Macaca fascicularis: one gene and its partners. The protein of the gene in region 4 interacts with the protein of the main gene of each other region in a pairwise test. Links are inferred from orthologs where the notes say so. Each region holds a gene or a part of one and is shown on either strand. Other genes may lie near its edges.

Evidence for each region.
Region 1: the proteins of CCDC146 (region 4) and keratin, type I cuticular Ha8 interact in binary tests that used the Homo sapiens proteins (3 or more experiments, as listed by UniProt). The link is inferred for Macaca fascicularis from reciprocal best matches to the Homo sapiens genes CCDC146 and KRT38.
Region 2: the proteins of CCDC146 (region 4) and NECAB2 interact in binary tests that used the Homo sapiens proteins (3 or more experiments, as listed by UniProt). The two-hybrid records come from large-scale screens. The link is inferred for Macaca fascicularis from reciprocal best matches to the Homo sapiens genes CCDC146 and NECAB2.
Region 3: the proteins of CCDC146 (region 4) and PDE4DIPP2 interact in binary tests that used the Homo sapiens proteins (3 or more experiments, as listed by UniProt). The two-hybrid records come from large-scale screens. The link is inferred for Macaca fascicularis from reciprocal best matches to the Homo sapiens genes CCDC146 and PDE4DIP.

The regions. Positions count from the first base shown.
Region 1 is NC_088390.1:62,486,364-62,491,419, reverse strand, and holds the start of keratin, type I cuticular Ha8, read left to right. Parts: upstream 1-1,961; 5' UTR 1,962-2,023; coding exon 2,024-2,515; intron 2,516-2,702; coding exon 2,703-2,785; intron 2,786-3,581; coding exon 3,582-3,738; intron 3,739-4,075; coding exon 4,076-4,237; intron 4,238-4,317; coding exon 4,318-4,443; intron 4,444-4,620; coding exon 4,621-4,841; intron 4,842-5,056.
Region 2 is NC_088394.1:79,873,056-79,876,434, reverse strand, and holds part of NECAB2 (N-terminal EF-hand calcium-binding protein 2), read right to left. Parts: intron 2,877-3,379; coding exon 2,764-2,876; intron 383-2,763; coding exon 305-382; intron 1-304. UniProt on the Homo sapiens protein: May act as a signaling scaffold protein that senses intracellular calcium.
Region 3 is NC_088375.1:114,058,175-114,063,219, reverse strand, and holds the start of PDE4DIPP2 (myomegalin), read left to right. Parts: upstream 1-1,662; 5' UTR 1,663-2,047; coding exon 2,048-3,172; intron 3,173-5,045. UniProt on the Homo sapiens protein: Functions as an anchor sequestering components of the cAMP-dependent pathway to Golgi and/or centrosomes.
Region 4 is NC_088377.1:144,366,526-144,371,308, reverse strand, and holds the start of CCDC146 (coiled-coil domain-containing protein 146), read left to right. Parts: upstream 1-1,399; 5' UTR 1,400-1,484; intron 1,485-4,783. Other genes in the region: protein FAM185A, read right to left, coding at 427-877. UniProt on the Homo sapiens protein: Essential for sperm flagellum biogenesis and male fertility.

The DNA of each region.
Region 1 (5,056 bases), on a different chromosome or scaffold from region 4:
CAAATCAAAGGAAATGACTTTAAAAGTCTGGCTCTCTGATTTATAGAGAAGCTTGTTGCTATGTGATGAGGCAGAGGAGAGTAACAAAAGGGTGTTTGAAGATGTAACATATGCAGATTGCACCCAGTGGCCTCTGGAGGATGGGACAGCCTGCCCTGGTAATGTCTCCCAATGATGCTGTCTGTAAAGGGTTATTGATTGGTGAGCTCTGACTAGCCCTTAGGTCAGAACTCACCACTACTTACTTTCCTGAGAAACCCAATCTGGACTGAATGCTCAAATTCTGTTTTTCTTCTTGATAGAACTCCAATAGCCTGTGTTTCACGTATGCACATCTGATCCCTATAGAGATGTATGTTCAGCTTTTGTTCAATGCTCAGGGGACTTAACAAAAACTCATTTTCTGTAACTTCTAGTTATAATCGCTTTGGATTGTTCCACATTAGGTTTTTCTCAGTCTCAGGGGTCTATGTATCTACTGTCACAAATTTTGGAAGAAAACTTTTGGGATCTCAGCAGTCTTGGATCCCTAGTACCAAGAACTATCTAAATGTGGAATGTGTAATATAACCATTTTAGAGACAGGGGTTTCCCCTGGCATCTTCTGATTTGGCCCTTGGAGAAACTCTGTTTTATTGTATCAATACCTCCACATCTGAGGTATTTTCTGAGATACAAAGGGAAAAATACACAACGTCAGATTTTTGTTTTACATCTTCACTTCAACTTCTTGCCCGGTTTCTAGGCCTTTGAATCCTTCTTAGTTCTAGCAATGACACAGTAGTTATCCTTGGGGGTGGGAGATTTGGTGGTAGTCAAGGTGAAGAAATAGCTTCTGCAGTTGAAAGAAGCTGATGTTAAGAATAGGCTTTATACTTCATAGTGAGGTTGATCTTAGAAAAATGACTTCACATCTCTTGTCCTCAATGGCTTATTTATTTATTTTGTAAAATTAAGAGTACCCACCTCCCAGGTTGGAAGTAAAGATTAAAAGGTATCACTGCTCAATCCCCTAGCTCATAGGGTGAAGGCTCATGACTGATTTTAGAATCAAGGAAGCAAGGTATGAAGAGAGCCCACAGAGGCTCTGATCACTCAATGTTCTTTGGCTTTCATGAGTTCTTTTCTCAAAGTTCTTATTTGAGGTTCAGTAAGATTATTGCTCATTTCTTTTTGTTTTTTTCTGGCTTCTTGAGCTTGCCTTCTTGGTCGAGATAAGCCATGGTTTTCGGAGTCATCCTCATTTTCATGAGCTTCTCAGATACCTTGTTTGAAACATCACATCTATCCAAGTTACAGTTGTTCCCCAATGACAGGAACTGTTCTGTGCTTAACCAACTATATGTCAAGTGTCAGCAAGGTGCCTGACAAATGGGACATAGCTAGGGGATGTGTGTTGAGTGAATGGATTCATCTAAGTCTTGTTGCTCCTCAAAGTGAGTCTGAAAGGCAACCAACTAAAGAAAGAAGAAATGTAGGACTTCTTGATAACCCAAGGCCGTAACATCCACCAATACCAAGACTTAGTTTCTTCCCTGGATAGGGAAGGCTGGTTGAGTCTTAACCCAAGTGAGAACCATTGCTATTACAAGGGTTAGTCCTCCTGCTACACCACTGACCAACAGGAAAGTTTGTGTCTCCAGAGTGGACACATCCATAAAGAGGCCAAACCCAGTCAAGGTCTAAGCATCTGATGGCTAAAATAACTTTGCTTCTTTGAAAAATAATAAAAACCTTCTGACCTCCCACCAGCAGCCAACCTGATTTCAAAGAGCCAAGAGGCATCTCAGATTCGTCAACATTCCTTTAATGAGCTGAGAAACTTTTCATGGTAAACTCAGCAGCTGAGTAACAGGATGATGGCACCACAACAGGTAGATAATCAAGGCAGGAGGTCAAAGCATTGGAGCCAACACCCACCCAGGACGGGGTATAAAAGGGCTGGGAGGAGAGGAGACCTCAGTCTCAGTGGCTCGGCGTTCCCAGCTGATCTGAAGCTCCTGTGCAGTCTCAGCCCTACACCATGACCTCCTCCTACAGCAGCTCCTCATGCCCTCTGGTTTGCACCGTGGCTCCTGGAGCAAGAAATGTCTCTGTCTCTTCCATCGACGTTGGGTGCCAGCCCGGGGCAGAGGCCAACGTTGCCCCCATGTGCCTTTTGGCCAACGTGGCACATGCCAACCGAGTCCGCGTGGGGTCGACTCCCCTGGGCCGCCCCAGCCTCTGCCTGCCCCCAACCTGCCACAATGCTTGTCCCTTGCCAGGGACCTGTCACATTCCTGGCAACATTGGAATCTGTGGGGCCTATGGTGAAAACACCCTGAATGGCCATGAGAAGGAGACCATGCAGTTCCTGAACGACCGCCTGGCCAACTACCTGGAGAAGGTGCGCCAGCTGGAGCGGGAGAATGCGGAGCTGGAGGCCACACTCCTCGAGAGGAGCAAGTGCCACGAGTCCACTGTGTGCCCGGACTACCAGTCCTACTTCCGCACCATTGAGGAGCTCCAGCAGAAGGTGAGGTGTGGGATCGCTTGGGCATGCTGGGTCTGAGAAGGCAGAAGCCTTCGCAGGAGGAATCCACATAAGGTCCAGAGAGCTTTGGGTTCTTGGTTTCTCTTGGACATGAGCGTAGACACCACACGTGGAGTGAGAGCTTAGAGTATGATGCTTTGTATGTGAACCGTCTTTCCGTTTTCCTCAGATCCTGTGCAGCAAGGCCGAGAATGCCAGGCTGATTGTACAAATTGACAATGCTAAGCTGGCTGCCGATGACTTTAGGATCAAGTAAGTCAGGTGGAGGAGGGCCAGGGTGACTCCCTCCCCACCCTCCATCCCAGTGCTCAAATACTTGTTGAGTGAGTGAATGTTTGTCCTGTCTTCCTTGCTAGATTCTCCACAGTAAAATTTTCATTACAATCAAAGCTGATGAAAGATGGAAGGGAAAACTCCTCATTAATCCAAGCATATATGTTTGTCCTCCTTCATTTATTTCCCTAAAATGGAGGATAAGGGAGCCTGAGTTCATTCACCAGGAGCAAAATGAGGGGATTTCAAGGATGAACTGAGCAAGACAGCCATTGGGTTTCATATATAAGTCAGAGAAGTCGTTTACAGATGAGTCTTTGTTCAGATTTAATTATGGAGCCCTAAGGTACCAGGCATAAGGTACCTAGGCAAAAATGAGAGAGGGGAAGACAGCTGAAAAGTAAGGCATAAGGAGCCGCAGATCACGATCAGGCACCTGGCTATTGCTTATCTTTGGTAACTGACAGTCCCCGCAATGGCACGAGTGTTGGTCCCAAGATGCATGATCTTAGGCAAGTCAGTTCATCTTCCTGAACTGCAGTTGCCACAGAATACAATGGCAAAAATGTATATTGTGCAATGTAGTGTTGTGATTGCTTCATTAGACCATGAGCTCTTTGAGAAGGGGGGCTGTGTCTAATTCACCTTCGAGGCCAGAGGGCTAAACAGTGAACAAATGAGGATCCAAGGTGGTGTGGGAGGTAGGAAGAAGGCAGGGCAGCCGAGAGGGGCTCTTGGGGCATTCTTGTTGACCCTGTACCTCCCGTGACGGAAGGCTGGAGAGTGAGCGCTCCCTACGCCAGCTGGTAGAGGCGGACCAGTGTGGGACGCAGAAGCTCCTGGATGACGCGACCCTGGCCAAGGCTGACCTGGAGGCCCAGCAGGAGTCCCTGAAGGAGGAGCAGCTGTCCCTCAAGAGCAACCATGAGCAGGTGTGGCCCTGGCTGCTCAGACTCCCGGGGAGGGTGCTGGGCAGACAGGGGAGCTCCCTGGCCCCGGGGCTCTCAGAGCATTGTCTGGGCTCAGCTGGCATCAGGATGCAGGGCTGAGGTGAGTCTGAGGGTGCAGTGGTCCTCTGTGCAGACTTGCCTTGGGCACGAGGAAGGTGTCCAGGTGGGCTCTCCCCACTGCACTCTCAGCAAGACTTTCCCATTTGCTTGTGTGTGGGACTCCCCTCCCACTGCTTGCAGGGTCAGGGTACTGGTGCTGTCTGCTCCATCAAAGGTCCTCTCTTCACACAGGCTGTCTGTCCCTTCCTCCTTTCTGCAGGAAGTAAAGATTCTGAGGAGTCAGCTGGGGGAGAAGCTCCGGATCGAGCTGGACATTGAGCCCACCATTGACCTGAACAGGGTGCTGGGGGAGATGCGGGCTCAGTACGAGGCCATGGTGGAGACCAACCGCCAGGATGTAGAACAGTGGTTCCAAGCCCAGGTGAACGGAGGAGGTACAGAAGCAGGGGGTACCTGGCCTCCATCTGGGCAGGGAGGTGACTATGTCTCTCCGTGCTCTAGTCTGAAGGCATCAGCCTGCAGGCCATGTCCTGCTCCGAGGAGCTGCAGTGCTGCCAGTCGGAGATCCTGGAGCTGAGATGCACAGTGAATGCCCTGGAGGTGGAGCGCCAAGCCCAGCACACCTTGGTATGTGTCCTTCACCCTCACTGCACTGCAAATGCCCTGTGCCATGGCCTAGTAGCCTTTTATTTTGGAGGTCTCACCGCCCAGGTTTCTCCCACCTGTTATCACCATCAAAATCTGGGGCATGTAGCAGTTTCCCTGGGGGCCTTGCACATTTTATCCCCTTATTTCCCACTACAGAAGGACTGTCTGCAGAACTCCCTGTGTGAAGCTGAGGACCGCTTCGGCACGGAGCTGGCCCAGATGCAGAGCCTCATCAGCAACGTGGAGGAGCAGCTGTCCGAGATCCGGGCTGACCTGGAGCGGCAGAACCAGGAGTACCAGGTGCTGCTGGACGTGAAGGCTCGGCTGGAGAATGAGATTGCCACGTATCGGAACCTTCTGGAGAGCGAGGACTGCAAGTACGTGTGATCTGGGCAGTTCCTGGCCAAATCATTTACCCAATTCTCATGAGGTGTTCAGGGCAGCAGAAGGGCTGTCTCTACATAGAATGAGGCTGTCTGTGCACTCCTTTTCAGTGAGTCATTGCTCTGTCCTGCACACTCCATGTGGTTGACAGAGTGAAGGGAAATGTCCATCCACTGTTATTTTGCAGTAGGGACCCCTTCCTTATGCC
Region 2 (3,379 bases), on a different chromosome or scaffold from region 4:
TGCTCGGAGCAGACGACAAAGGCCTAAAGCCCATCAGAGCTGATGCTACCATCCCCCATCTCCCTCCGTCCTGCCAGGGACTCAGCTGGGGGGAGGTTAAGCCCTGGAACAACTGATCACAGGGGGACAGAGGTACCTTCGAGGTCAGGTCCTCAGCTGTACAGGGTGGTAAAGAAGGCAGTGCCTTCGCCCACAAGGTGCTCTACAGGGAAAGAGCGTGGTGGGGGGGATCTCTCTACCCACCAGGAGCTCCTGGCTCCAGGAAGACAGCCCCCACACCTGCTATGGAGACCCAGTGTCTCACCTCTTCCATGCCTCCTCCGTCTCCCAGAACTCATAGATGACAAAGGTGAAGCCATCCGAGAGCCTCACGGCAGTGATGCTGCAACAGGAGACAGGCAGGGAGGCTGGGGCTCAACAGTGGCCACCCTAGTCCTGTAGCCCACCCCTATACACAACCGCTGCCTTCAACCTTTCTGGTCCTCCAGCGAGACTCAACAGGGTGCCCCCACCACCTGGAACAAGGCCTGGTTTCTTATAGTGGCCAATAGCTATTTCTCAATGACATGTAGTTTTTTTGAGACAGGGTCTCACTCTGTTGCCCAGGCTGGAGTGCAGTGGCACAATCACTTCAGCCTCCCACGTAGCTGGGACTATAGGTGTGCACCACTTGGCCTGGCTAATTCAAAAAATGTCCTAGTAGAGCTGGGGTCTTGCTATGGTCCCCACGCTGGTCTTGAACGCCTGGGCTCAGGCAGTCCTCTCGCCTTGGCTTCCAAACTGCTGGGATTACAAACTTCAGCCACTGTGCCCAGCTGAAATGTCATGTTAAAATCTTCACCTTTATTTAAACAAAACCAGGTGGCTGCGTGTGATGGTTCACACCTGTAATCCCAGAACTTGGGAAGTCTTGAGGGGCCGAGGCAGGTGGGTTACTTGAGGCCAGAAATTCAAGACCAGCCTAGCCAAAATGGCAAAACCTGGTCTCTTAAAAAGTTGCCAGGCCTGGTGCCATAGGCCTGTAATCCCAGTTACGCAGGAGGCTGAGGCTTGAGACTCACTTGAACCTGGTGGGTAGAGGCTGCAGTGAGCTGAGCTTCCACCACTACACTCCTGCCTGGGCCACAAAGCAAGATTTGGTCTCAAAAACAAAAAATATATATATACATATAAACCCTATCTTTAAATTATCAAAGCATCTTCCTCCTAATTGTCATCTTATTTAATCCTTGCAACAACCCCACTGCACTGTACCTGACCGAAGGAGGCTGCGGGAGGGGGGCATTCACAGAGGAAGGGGCTGCAAGCAAGTCCCCCTTCACTCTTTGGGACCCAGAGGACAGCACTCACCTCATTTTAAAGGCGCAGATAGGCTATGCCGCTCCGGGCTTCTCTCTGCAAGTGCACTACAATGAGGAAGCCCCAAGTGACCATAAAAGGGCGGGGGGGCAAGAGCAGGGGATGAGGGGTAACAGTGCTCAGCCTGGAGGGAGGGGGACAGACACACCGCTGTGCAGCGTTAGGTACACTGTGCCTGGCAAGTGCAGTCTCGCCTGGCTCTCCAAGCTGGCCGTCTCCAGTTCAACAAACAGCACTGTCTTCTACTGAGGCTCCGAAACCAGAGCCTCTATATCCACCTTGCCTCCTCTCCACAGCCTATCGGGGTGGCCCTACTTCACTCTGGGGTCTCCCACTTCATGTAACAGAGAAAAGATCAAGTCTGGCCCCTGCTCCTATACAGTCTGTCCTGCTGGATGGGAGTGGGTCCTGCCCACCACCCTGGCTACTTACTCAAGCGTGGCCCCTGATGGCCACCCTGGGTCTCCGCAACAGCCGCACTCCTGCCCAGGCTGCTCCTCCCCTAGTGCTACAGGTCAGGCCTCAGTGCACAGGGGGCCCAGGAAGACCCCGTGCAGGACCTGGCCTGCCTCGTTCACAGCCATGCCCCCAGGCAACAGGGCGAATGAATGTGTGCCCTGGGGATGGAAGAAAGCCCTGGAAAGGGAGGGAGTTGGGCAGAGCCTTGGTGTAGAAATGAAGGGCAGGGGAAACACCTGGGCCTCATGCTCTTTAAGGGCTACTACCAGCAAGAACAAACGGCTGTTGTCTTCTGTGGACCCCTCCCCTGTGGCCATGGCCTAGCTTTACCAAGGAGCTACATAATCCTGGGGGGATGAACGGGAATTTGAGGGTGAGGCCCCTTGCCCCGCCCTAGACATCTCACCACAGACCCATAGGGAGGAGGGAGAGAATGGCCGCTACGTTTCCATCTCAGCACATCCGTGGGGAAGGGGAGAGGGGCGGCTACATTTTTTGGGCATTTCCCTTCAGCCTCACCGACTCGACTCTCCTTTCCTTTCTCGGTTGTTAACTGAGCACACACTACATTCTGGGCCTGGTGTTAAGCAGCAACTCCTGCAAGAGCAACAGCTAAGGCTGACTGAGCGCACGTGGCACACCAGGCCCGGCCAGAGCCGTTCACACTTGAGATTCACACACTTGATTGTATATGAATCGTGATCACCCCAACAAGGAGTCCTGGGGGTGGCCCCCCCCTTTTACAGATGAATGAGCTGAGGACAGGGAGATGAAGGCACCTGCCACGTTTGCATGACCTGAACCCAGTTCTTATTCACCCAGCTATGTGTCTCCCTGGGGTGCGATTTGTACTTAGGGGTAAGCCTAGTCCCGCGCTGTTCCTCCACTGCCAGGCAGAGCTCCCTGCCACCATCCCTCCCACTCACGCTTCAGCAGCTCACTCACTGGAAGCAGCTCCTCGCTCCGGCAGTCCCCCGCAGATACGGGCGCAGGGAGTCCAGAAACTCGCTGAGTTGCTCGGGGCACACGGCCATCTCCTGCCGGACCAGCTGCAGGTGCTGCCGGGCCACAGCAGGAGTCAGTGTGGGGCTCCATGCCAGAACTTCTCCCTAAAGACCCCATCCGGCGTCCATGACCTCCCTCCCTTGGTCTAAATAAACCTCCCCGACTTTTCATTGTATAATGAAAAGTATAAGAAAGGACTAGAACCTCAAGAGCCCAGTGCAGAGGTAGCCCCCACAAACGGGGAAAACGGACGAGTTGTTTACCCAGTCCCCACCCATGTCCACAGCTGCCTCCAGGGCCCAGAGACACAGCACATCCACTGACAAGAAAAACTTAGTTGATGGACTCAGCATTTTCACATGACTGTCCGGCTGACCACTTAGCTCTAGGCCAAACTTTTTTTGGATCAAAGTCCAGGAGCCTCTGGGCCAGGTATGGTGGCTCACACCTATAATCTCAGTACTTTGGGAGGCCGAGGTGGGCGGATCACAAGGTCAGGAGTTCGAGACCAGCCTGGCCAACATGGTGAAACCTTATCTCTACTAAAAATGCAAAA
Region 3 (5,045 bases), on a different chromosome or scaffold from region 4:
AAAGCATTTCCTCAAAATTATCTCATTTGGTCTTCAATATGAAGTTTGGGGGGCTTATTATGAACTCTCATAGATGGCATTTGGATGTCTTCAGGTTTAGGAGGATGGGCTCTGTCCTGGGGACGAGGTTCAGAAAAACTTAGACGTTGCTGGCCTTAGCTTACAAGGTCAAGTTAGTAAAAAAAAAAAAAAAAAAAAAAAAAAATTTAACATGATTAGAACTGAGAAATGGCCTGCTCTAGGGGACTGCAAGTGATTGCTGCGGTTGTTCCTCTTGTTCCGTGTCTGAATGCCTCTCAAGTCAGGAAGAGAATTCTTTATTAAAAATGGCCGGAGGGCGCGGTGGCTTAAGCCTGTAATCCCAGCACTTTGGGAGGCCCAGGCGGGCGGATCAGGAGCTCAGAAGATCAAGACCATCCTAGCTAACACGGTGAAACCCCGTCTCTACTAAAAAAATATGAAAAATTAGCCGGGCGTGGTGGCGGGCGCCTGTAGTCCCAGCTGCTCGGGAGGCTGAGGCAGGAGAATGGCGTGAGCCCGGGAGGCGAAGGTTGCAGTGAGCCGAGATCGCGCCACTGCACTCAAAAAAAAAAATGGCCGGAGGTACCTGCATCCCACCTAGTCAGGGCTCTAGCTTCCCTCCTCTTTGTGTGCAATCCAAGTTTTAGACCCAAGGGTGGAGGACCTACCACTGTACAGTGCTGAGTAAGACAGGGTTCTCACCGAAGTCAGCGAAGTTCCCAGTCCTTTCTGGCGCGAGCTGCATTCCCAGACACTCCAGCTCTTGCCGAAAGGAGCTCCGTCTTTTGCGCTAGTGTTTGTCTACCCTCCCCTGCCCTAAAATAATGAATGCCCTCTACCTGAGGGAGAGACTTCAGTGGCGGTAATCTACTCGCGGCTGGCTGCATCCTTGAAAAAGCACATTTCCCTTCTACTATCTTCAAGATCTTGGTTAACCAGATTCACATTGTATTTGCAGGACGCTTTCTCAGGTGACTGCTCAGTGCTCTTTTTTACCGAAAGTAGGGCAAAGTCCCCCAAGGGTGCTAACCCTCCCCCACCCACATCAAGGAAGAAACAGTCCTCTACTCTTTTCTGGACATTCCGGTTCAGAGTCGAGGTAAGGGTTGCATGGCCCCGCCCCACCCGCCCCTCCGTTACCAAGCCTTCCCCCGCCCGCCTCGCAGTCTCAGGGCCTTAGAACCCAGGCGGGGCGAGGCCGGGAGAGGTGGGGCTGCTGGCTGGAGGCGGCGGCGGCGCGCAGCGGTACCTAGCGGCGCTGCCCGGCTGGCAGCCGGAGGACGTGGCACTGTCCGAGGATCCAGGGGGAGGGGATTCGGCCTTCTCCTCCCCGCGAGGAGGAGCCTCGGGACATCCTGCAGAGGCGGGAGGATCCTTGAGGGCACTGGTGCGCCTTTCAGGTGAGCTCTTAGCAGATAAAAGCGGCTGGCTGTGGTCCGCGCCAGTAGTGCTTTCTGCTCTGCACTCCCAGTGAGCCAGGTGCGCAACCGGAGTGGGGGCGAGGGGCGTGCTGGCCACCCCGCATGCGCAGAGCCGGGAGCCCGCTGACCGGACTACAGCTCCCAGAGGAGCCTTGTGGAAGCCGCAGACGTGGAGCCGCTGGCGCCATCTTGAAATCTGATCCTCAATCCCCGAGCCTTTGAGTCTGCGCGGCGGGCCGCTGCTGCTCCGGGAGCCCAGTCTGTTAAAAGGGTAGGACGTTGAGGACGCGGCGGCTGGCGGGAGAGACAGCTGGGGAGAGACATGGCAGGGTCGGAGCGCGGCCTGCGCCTCTGTCACTCAGCATCCTCTTAGACGTTTCCACGCCCGCCCCCTGCCCAAGGGGCGGGGCTGACGGCTGTGGTACCCGGAGCCGGCGCACGGGGTAGGGGTGCACCCCTGCAGAGTGAGGACCCCACTGGGCTGTGCCATGCTGACTGGAGACCACTGAGGCGGGAGACAGAGCGCGGCGAAGAGCCATTGAGTGGTCATCCAGTAGCCGCCGCCGCCGCCGCCTCAGGAAGCTTGGCACCCGCTAGGAGGGAAGATGAAGGAGATTTGCAGGATCTGTGCCCGAGAGCTGTGTGGAAACCAGCGGCGCTGGATCTTCCACACAGCGTCCAAGCTGAACCTCCAGGTTCTGCTTTCGCACGTCCTGGGCAAGGATGTCCCCCGCGATGGCAAAGCCGAGTTCGCTTGCAGCAAGTGTGCTTTCATGCTTGATCGAATCTATCGATTCGACACGGTTATTGCCCGGATCGAAGCTCTTTCTATTGAGCGCTTGCAAAAGCTGCTACTGGAGAAAGATCGCCTCAAGTTCTGCATTGCCAGTATGTATCGGAAGAATAACGATGACTCTGGCCCGGAGGTCAAGGCGGGGAATGGGACGGTTGACATGTCTGTCTTACCTGATGCGAGATACTCTGCACTGCTCCAGGAGGACTTCGCCTATTCAGGGTTTGAGTGCTGGGTGGAGAATGAGGATCAGATCCAGGAGCCACACAGTTGCCATGGTTCGGAAGGCCCTGGAAACCGACCCAGGAGATGCCGTGGTTGTGCAGCTTTGCGGGTTGCTGATTCTGACTATGAAGCCATTTGTAAGGTACCTCGAAAGGTGGCCAGAAGTATCTCCTGTGGCCCTTCTAGCAGGTGGTCGACCAGCATTTGCACTGAAGAACCAGCGTTGTCTGAGGTTGGGCCACCCGACTTAGCAAGCACAAAGGTACCCCCAGATGGAGAAAGCATGGAGGAAGAGACGCCGGGTTCCTCTGTGGAATCTTTGGATGCAAGCGTCCACGCTAGCCCTCCACAACAGAAAGATGAGGAGACTGAGAGAAGTGCAAAGGAACTTGGAAAGTGTGACTGTTGTTCAGATGATCAGGCTCCGCCGCATGGGTGTAATCACAAGCTGGAGTTAGCTCTTAGCATGATTAAAGGTCTTGATTATAAGCCCATCCAGAGCCCCCGAGGGAGCAGGCTTCCGATTCCAGTGAAATCCAGCCCACCTGGAGCCAAGCCTGGCCATAGCATGACAGATGGAGTTAGTTCCGGGTTCCTTAACAGGTCTTTGAAACCCCTTTACAAGACACCTGTGAGTTACCCCTTGGAGCTTTCAGACCTGCAGGAGCTGTGGGATGATCTCTGTGAAGATTATTTGCCGCTCCGGGTCCAGGTATACAAAACGGCTACACAGTGCCTTTCTGATTATAGCTAGCTGGCCTCTGGCTTCACATGATTTCGGTCTAGGTGGAGGTTAGTAATATTCTAGACTTGAGAAAATTAGTCATGAGCCCATTTTTGCTGCACCTTTTCTGTGTCTCATTTAGTAAACGTGATTCGTACTCAGATAATTTGCTTTTCACAGTCTTTGTAAAATCTGTTGGCCTTCCCATTATCAAAATTGTATACCTTTTAAAACAAAAAGGTAAAGATTCCCACTTCACTTTTATCCTGTAAAAAGAAGACATTTAATCTCATTTCTGGCACTAGAACTTTTCCTCTTATCTCCTTTTCTTTCTTTTTTTTTTTTTTTTTTTTTTAACAACTTTTAAAATTTGTTCTTGTTTTCAGATTTATAGACGTTTCCTCCCAATGGCTTTCTGTAAGGCAGTTAGTTCTCTAGTTAGTTCTTCCCAGAGCATTGAAGCTTTCATCCGCAAAATGCCTGTAAATGATTAGAGCATAAGGTAAAAGGTTTGGGGGAAACCTATTAATCCACCAGTAAAGTATTATAACATCTGGACAATATTTATTATAATGAATAGTTCATTTGAGGATTAGTGATGACTCATTCATAAAAGAGACAGGAATTCAAGTATTCAAGTACAGTATTGTCACTCAAAACGTTAAGGCATAAACTGTTCACAGCCAGAACTCTGCTGAGTTCTACTGGAAGATATTTGATATTAAGAAAGGATTAACCCATTATTGGATCAGAGGAGAGTTTCATTCATTATAGTCTTGAATTCTTAATGACTAGAGGATGGCAGTTGCTTAATTTGAACCATTCATGTCTGCCCAATTGATTCTATACCAACCTTTTAAATTCAGCTATGGTAGTTTGTTTCTATAGCAACAGTAAATGCTAGGTTCAGTTAACTTTGTGAAACATACTGGCATGTTCCACTTGATACAACTTATTTAGCGATACTGTCACAAAGGTAGATGTGATCTAGAAGGCATTTTTAGAAAGCCTGCTACTGGTCAACATCATTCCAGAAATTTAGAGCTTGATAAGTAACATTGTTGATGGTCACATGAAACTTTTGGAAAGTAGTTCTGTGGTATGTATACTTTCTTTCACCATAAGAACCTAAGCAGAAAACAGGAGAAAAGTTTTTAAATTTACACAAAATTATGAGTAGCAGCATAGATGAGAAACAGCAGAGATGAAAGTGTCATGAAAGGTAAAAAGTCAGTGCGTTTTCATTTGTATAAAATGTATGTACTTCTTTTCTTTTGCTTTTCCTTTCAGTGGAGCCTCAGCTGAATTTGGGCTTTACAGTATTTCTGGACCAGACATAGGTGTTACAAATTAAACATGGTGTTTTCTTATTAGGGTCTAAAATTAGTTGGGCCAGGATGAATGGGAAATAAACTCGTCTCCCCAACCCGCCACCAAGTATGGCCAATATTGTAGAACATTACATAAAGACTGAGAAAATAACAGCCAAAACAAGGTCTTTTTTCTCCATATTTAAATAAAATACTCTATTTTGGTGACCGGATTTTGGAGTTGAGAAGAATTTTAAAGATCATCTTCAGGCAGTCCCTCAATTTGGAGATATGGAAAGAAAGTTCATTCTTTAACTAACTTAGCCCATGCAGAGACAAAGGTTTCTGACCATTCTCAGGCAAGACACTAATTCTATACATTAAACCCCATTGTCTGAAGTATATAAATTTAAGTAAGTACTTTTTTAAAACCAGGAGCCCTCTTTCTCTAACCTAAGGATGCTTGGGGGATTTTTTAGAGATTACGTGAAAAAAATTGTCATCTGAATGAACATATATAAACTATGGTAACTGTATCTTTAGGTCAAGTC
Region 4 (4,783 bases):
ATTGACAGGGCTGTTTTGGGACACACCCCCAGGCTGTGAGTAAGGGGAAATGTAGATGGACTGCCATACCATTCAATGAATTGTCAAGAAACTTCAACCTTGAAAAATAAGCCAGTTTGCTAATGACAACGGGATAAAGGAGAACACAAGCGGCTCCAGAAATATAATTTGACCTGGATTATACCAAATCATGTTTCCATTCGATGTATAAAATTTCTATAACAAATTTTTAGTTAGGCAACCTAATTTTTAAATACTACTCGGATACTCAAGAATAGAACAGAGGAAAAGGTGCATTTCCGAAGGTGCCAACTGTAAATTAGGTTTAGAAAGCCAGGACCAATTAAAAGTGCAAGTCGACCAAATTTAGTAAGTTCACTGTGCGTGCCCTGGGACCCAAACCCGTTTTCACTTCATTTCACTTGCCAAACTTCAGGGGCGCGTTCACCTCCACGAACGCCTGGGGGTCGATAGTGTCAGACAAAATGGCCATCTCCTCCAGAGCCTCGTCGTACTTCACCTGCAGGCCGTCCAGGCCCCGCGCGCTGCCCTCCACGCCACACACCGCGACCAGCACGCGGTCGCCATCCGGGTAGGTGAGGGGGTCCAAGGGCCTCACGGCCAGGTGGCACGGGAGCCGCGCCCGCAGCCGACCGAACGGGCTCACCTGCAGCGTCCACTCCTTTAGAGTCCGGCGCGCCGGGCCAGGCGGAGGGACCTCAGCCTCCGATCCGGGCCAGGGCTTGCCCCGACCTGAGCCGTACGGCCTGGCTTGGCAAGCCCAGGAAGCCCAGCGCCCAGTGCCAACCCACAATCGGACCTGACGGAGACAGAGACGGAGGCAGCCAAGCTCCCAACCTGAGCAGGGGGCAAGCATGGCGCGCCCCTCTCTCCAGTCCTTAGAACACTTCAGCTACAGGGAGGGTCACTTGCCACGGCCAATCGACTTGGCCACTATGCCGCCTCAAGTCAAATAGGAGACGTCTGTCAGGGTTTGCTGAAGCAAGAGGGAGCCGGTTCGCTTGACTAGGCAATTTAAACATCAGCCACGCAAGCCCCAGAGGCAAGTTGCAATTTGAAAGCTCTAAACTCTGACCCGGACTCCTAGCCTACGCCCGCCCCTTTCGCTAAGGCGGACGGGATAGGTAGTTGTAAAGGGGTGGAACATCGCAGAGCTCTGGCATCTTAGAAACCACATATCCCAGGAGGCAATGCGCAGGGGAGTCCGGGTAAAAGGGCATGTGTTAGACTCCCTGGGAAAGGCGGGCGCCCTTTGCCTCAAGACCATTGGCTATTGGAGGGGCGGTACATAGGAGTCCAACTGGCCAATGGAAAGCACGAAAGGGGCAACGTGGGTAAAGCTGCGCGGTCACCTTGGATACCAAGGACGCGACTTCTTGTTTGGCGAGGGTGGAGCTTCGAAGTGAGACCCAGGAGGCCAAATCCCAAAAAGCCTAAAATAAGGATCAGGACCAAGGGAAGGGGTAAGAAACTGCGCTTTTTAAGATGACAACTAGGTGCAAACTAGGAGTAACCTCTGTGGGTGTCAAGACCCATGCTTCACTAACCTAGTGCAGGCGTCTCCAGGGGATAGAGAATGCCTTGGCAAGAGAGTAAAGAGCCTTTACTCTTGGTGCTTTTTGAGGGAATTGCCTCTTTGGAAGTGTATTCCCTCCTATATTTCAAATATAGGAATAGAGTACTGGCTCCTTCCTGACCCTAAGTGACCTTACTCTTTGGGTTTTAATTTGCTCACTTTAAAAATGAAGATAATAATACTTGCCTTGCCTTGCCTCAAAGGGTTTTTGTAAGGATCAAGTAAGAAAATGGATGGGAACGTGGTGCACAGTCTACAAAATTACCGTGTAAAGTACTGCATTTTTATTTCAACGTACTTAACATTGATTCTGAGTTACCAAGAAAATTATGAGAGATCAGAACTTGTTTTGAGAATAGCATTGATCTCTTTGACTACAAATGATCCTCAGTTTTAGAGTGTTTAAAAACAAAACAAAAAAAAGACACAAAAAAGGGAGTTACCATGGTGCAGTGGAAAGAACAGGGACAAGGGTCAGATTATTTTCCTGGCTCTGCCACTGCTTCATCTGTGTCACCTAGACCTGTTTCCTTAGTTTTAAAATGAAGAAAGATGGTTCTCAATGACCCTACAAGGTGTGTGTGTGTGTGTGTGTGTGTGTGTGTGTGTGTGTGTGTGTGTGTGTGTGTGTGTGTGTGTTTACCTTGTATAATTCTATGGGAAGTAAAGTAATGGGAACAGAAAGACTTATTTTCTTCTTTCCTGCCTGGTTTCTCTCTCCCCTTCTGTGCCGCTACTTCCTCCTAAAATTTATTCCCTAAATTATTTAGCCAAGACACCTGCAAACACTAACGTTTCATAAAATGCAAGTGCCTTAAAAAATTGAAGCTCTTGCCCAAGTACAATGACTAGAATTCCTGGGGCAATCGTGATAGACAGACTGGGCTAACGCCCTCCTGGGTACAAGTCTCAGGTACTCTGCCAGCCACTATCTTTTTAAAAATTCAGTGTTTTCTTAAGTTATCATTGCCTCTTTTCTGTCTTTCTAGTCCTTCTTCCCTCCTCATTCCTCCTTCAGTGAGGACTGACTCATTATAGGTGCTAGCTCAGGTTCAGCAAGGGCCCACTGCAATAGTTCTATTCTTGCCTTTGTGTTTCATTGGTTATAATTATTCAAAATAATCTTCAAACTATTTTTTAGTGAAAACTGACAGGTGTAACTTTGAAAAGAAATTTGAAAAAGGCACTGGTTTAAGGAAGTTGAGAATGTACTCAAATTTTCTGTAGAGGCACTAGACATTTTTAGATTAAATATTAATTCTTAATAGATAATTCTGTTTATATGGTAATTTTTCCTTTTCTGAGACAAACTAAGTTAATGGAATTGGCAACTGAACTATAATTTTCTATGTAGCATAATCATTATTTTACTTTTTCAAAAAACAAATAGAATTGATTGAAAATTGACTTTTCTGATCACATGAGGTTGAAAATGGAGAAAATTATTATTAAGATTGATATAAAATATTTAAAGTTATGGACATTTAAAAACAGTATAATGAGTATCAAATCTGTCCACATATAAACAGTGATTAATAAAAGTTATATCTTCCATCTATATGACATAGTTGTCAAACCATGTTCACATGCATCATCTCACTGCATCCTCGCTAATTAAGTGGGAAATTATTCTCCTCATACTATAGATGAGGAAACAGATTCAGAAACATTAAGATTAAGCAATTAGAAGATCTGGCCCTTTTATCACTCTACCAAAATGTCCTTCTATTTTCCTGACACCTTTGAAGAAAAAATGAAATTATTCACCTCATAAGTAGAAAATTATATACAACTTTTTTCTCCTTATTTAGAGTTTGTTTCTAAGATATTTTCACATCTTAGTTTTAAAAAGTCATTTCTGTGGTCATGAACATATACTTCTGGTAGGGGTGTTAAGTTAGTACAAAATTTTTAGAGTTCAATTCAGCAATAAGCATGAAAAACTTTTTCCATGACTCAGAAATTGTACTTTTGGGGATGTAAGCATAAAATTAGGGATACTCAAGAAATTACATTTTATAGGGTTACTTGTAAAAGAAAATAATTGCATCAATTTAAATGCTCCCTGGCCAGGTGCAGTGGCTCATACCTGTAATTTCAGCACTTTGGGAGGCTGAGATGGGTGGATCACCTGAGGTCAGGAGTTCGAGACCAGCCTGGCCAACATGGTGAAACTCTGTCTCTACTAAAAATTAAAAAAATTTGCTGGGCATGGTGACGGATGCCTGTAATCCCGGCTACTCAGGAGGCTGAGACAGGAGAATTGCTTGAACGCAGGAGGTGGAGGTTGCAGTGAGCCACGATCACACCACTGCACTCCAACCTGGGCAGCAAGAGTGAAACTGTCTCAAAAAAAAAAGTTAAATGCTCCCAAATAAGAGAGTATTACATGAATTATTATATATCTGATATATTATGCAACAATTTAAACATTATATCTTGATATGGGAAATATTCCATATATAAAGTGACAAGAATAGATACAAAATTGCATGTACAGTATGATCCCAATTGTGTAATAATAATAATAAATTTAACATAGAATTATACTTTACAGAAACAATTCCAGAGGGATATATACTACTTGATAACAGTGGTTATCTTTAAGCAGTGATATGATGAGTGGTTACTGCAATTTTTTGTGTGTTATCAATAGTGAAAATATATTACATTTATATAAGAAAACAATTTTAAAGCATTTCTTCGCATATATTGTTTCCTAAAACTGGCTCAAATAATCAGATGGGTAGAGGATTTCTTACCATCTAGATGTAAATGTCAATTAATATTTTATTAAATGATTTATGTTCAAAAAATGGACAGCAGAGGTCATGAGAGAGTTTTCAGAAGAAAAGGTAACCAAAACAAAGAATTCAGAGAAAAGCCATAAGAATTTGTTAACTTTCTGATTTATAAACTATTTTAAAAATATATCTTATGACTTCTATTATTCTTGTGAAATATTAATAAACTCAACAATCTTAACTAATAACTATCAACATTGAGAAGTATTTAATGAATATATATAGGTACTAATTCTATTTGAAATCTCTATGTGAAACTGCAAATAGACACAGTTTTATTTCTTCCTTTCTAATCTGTATGGCTTTTCTGTTCTAGTGTTATTGCACTGGCTAAGACCGCCACTACAATATTGAGTTGGAGTGGCAAAAGCAGAAATCCTTT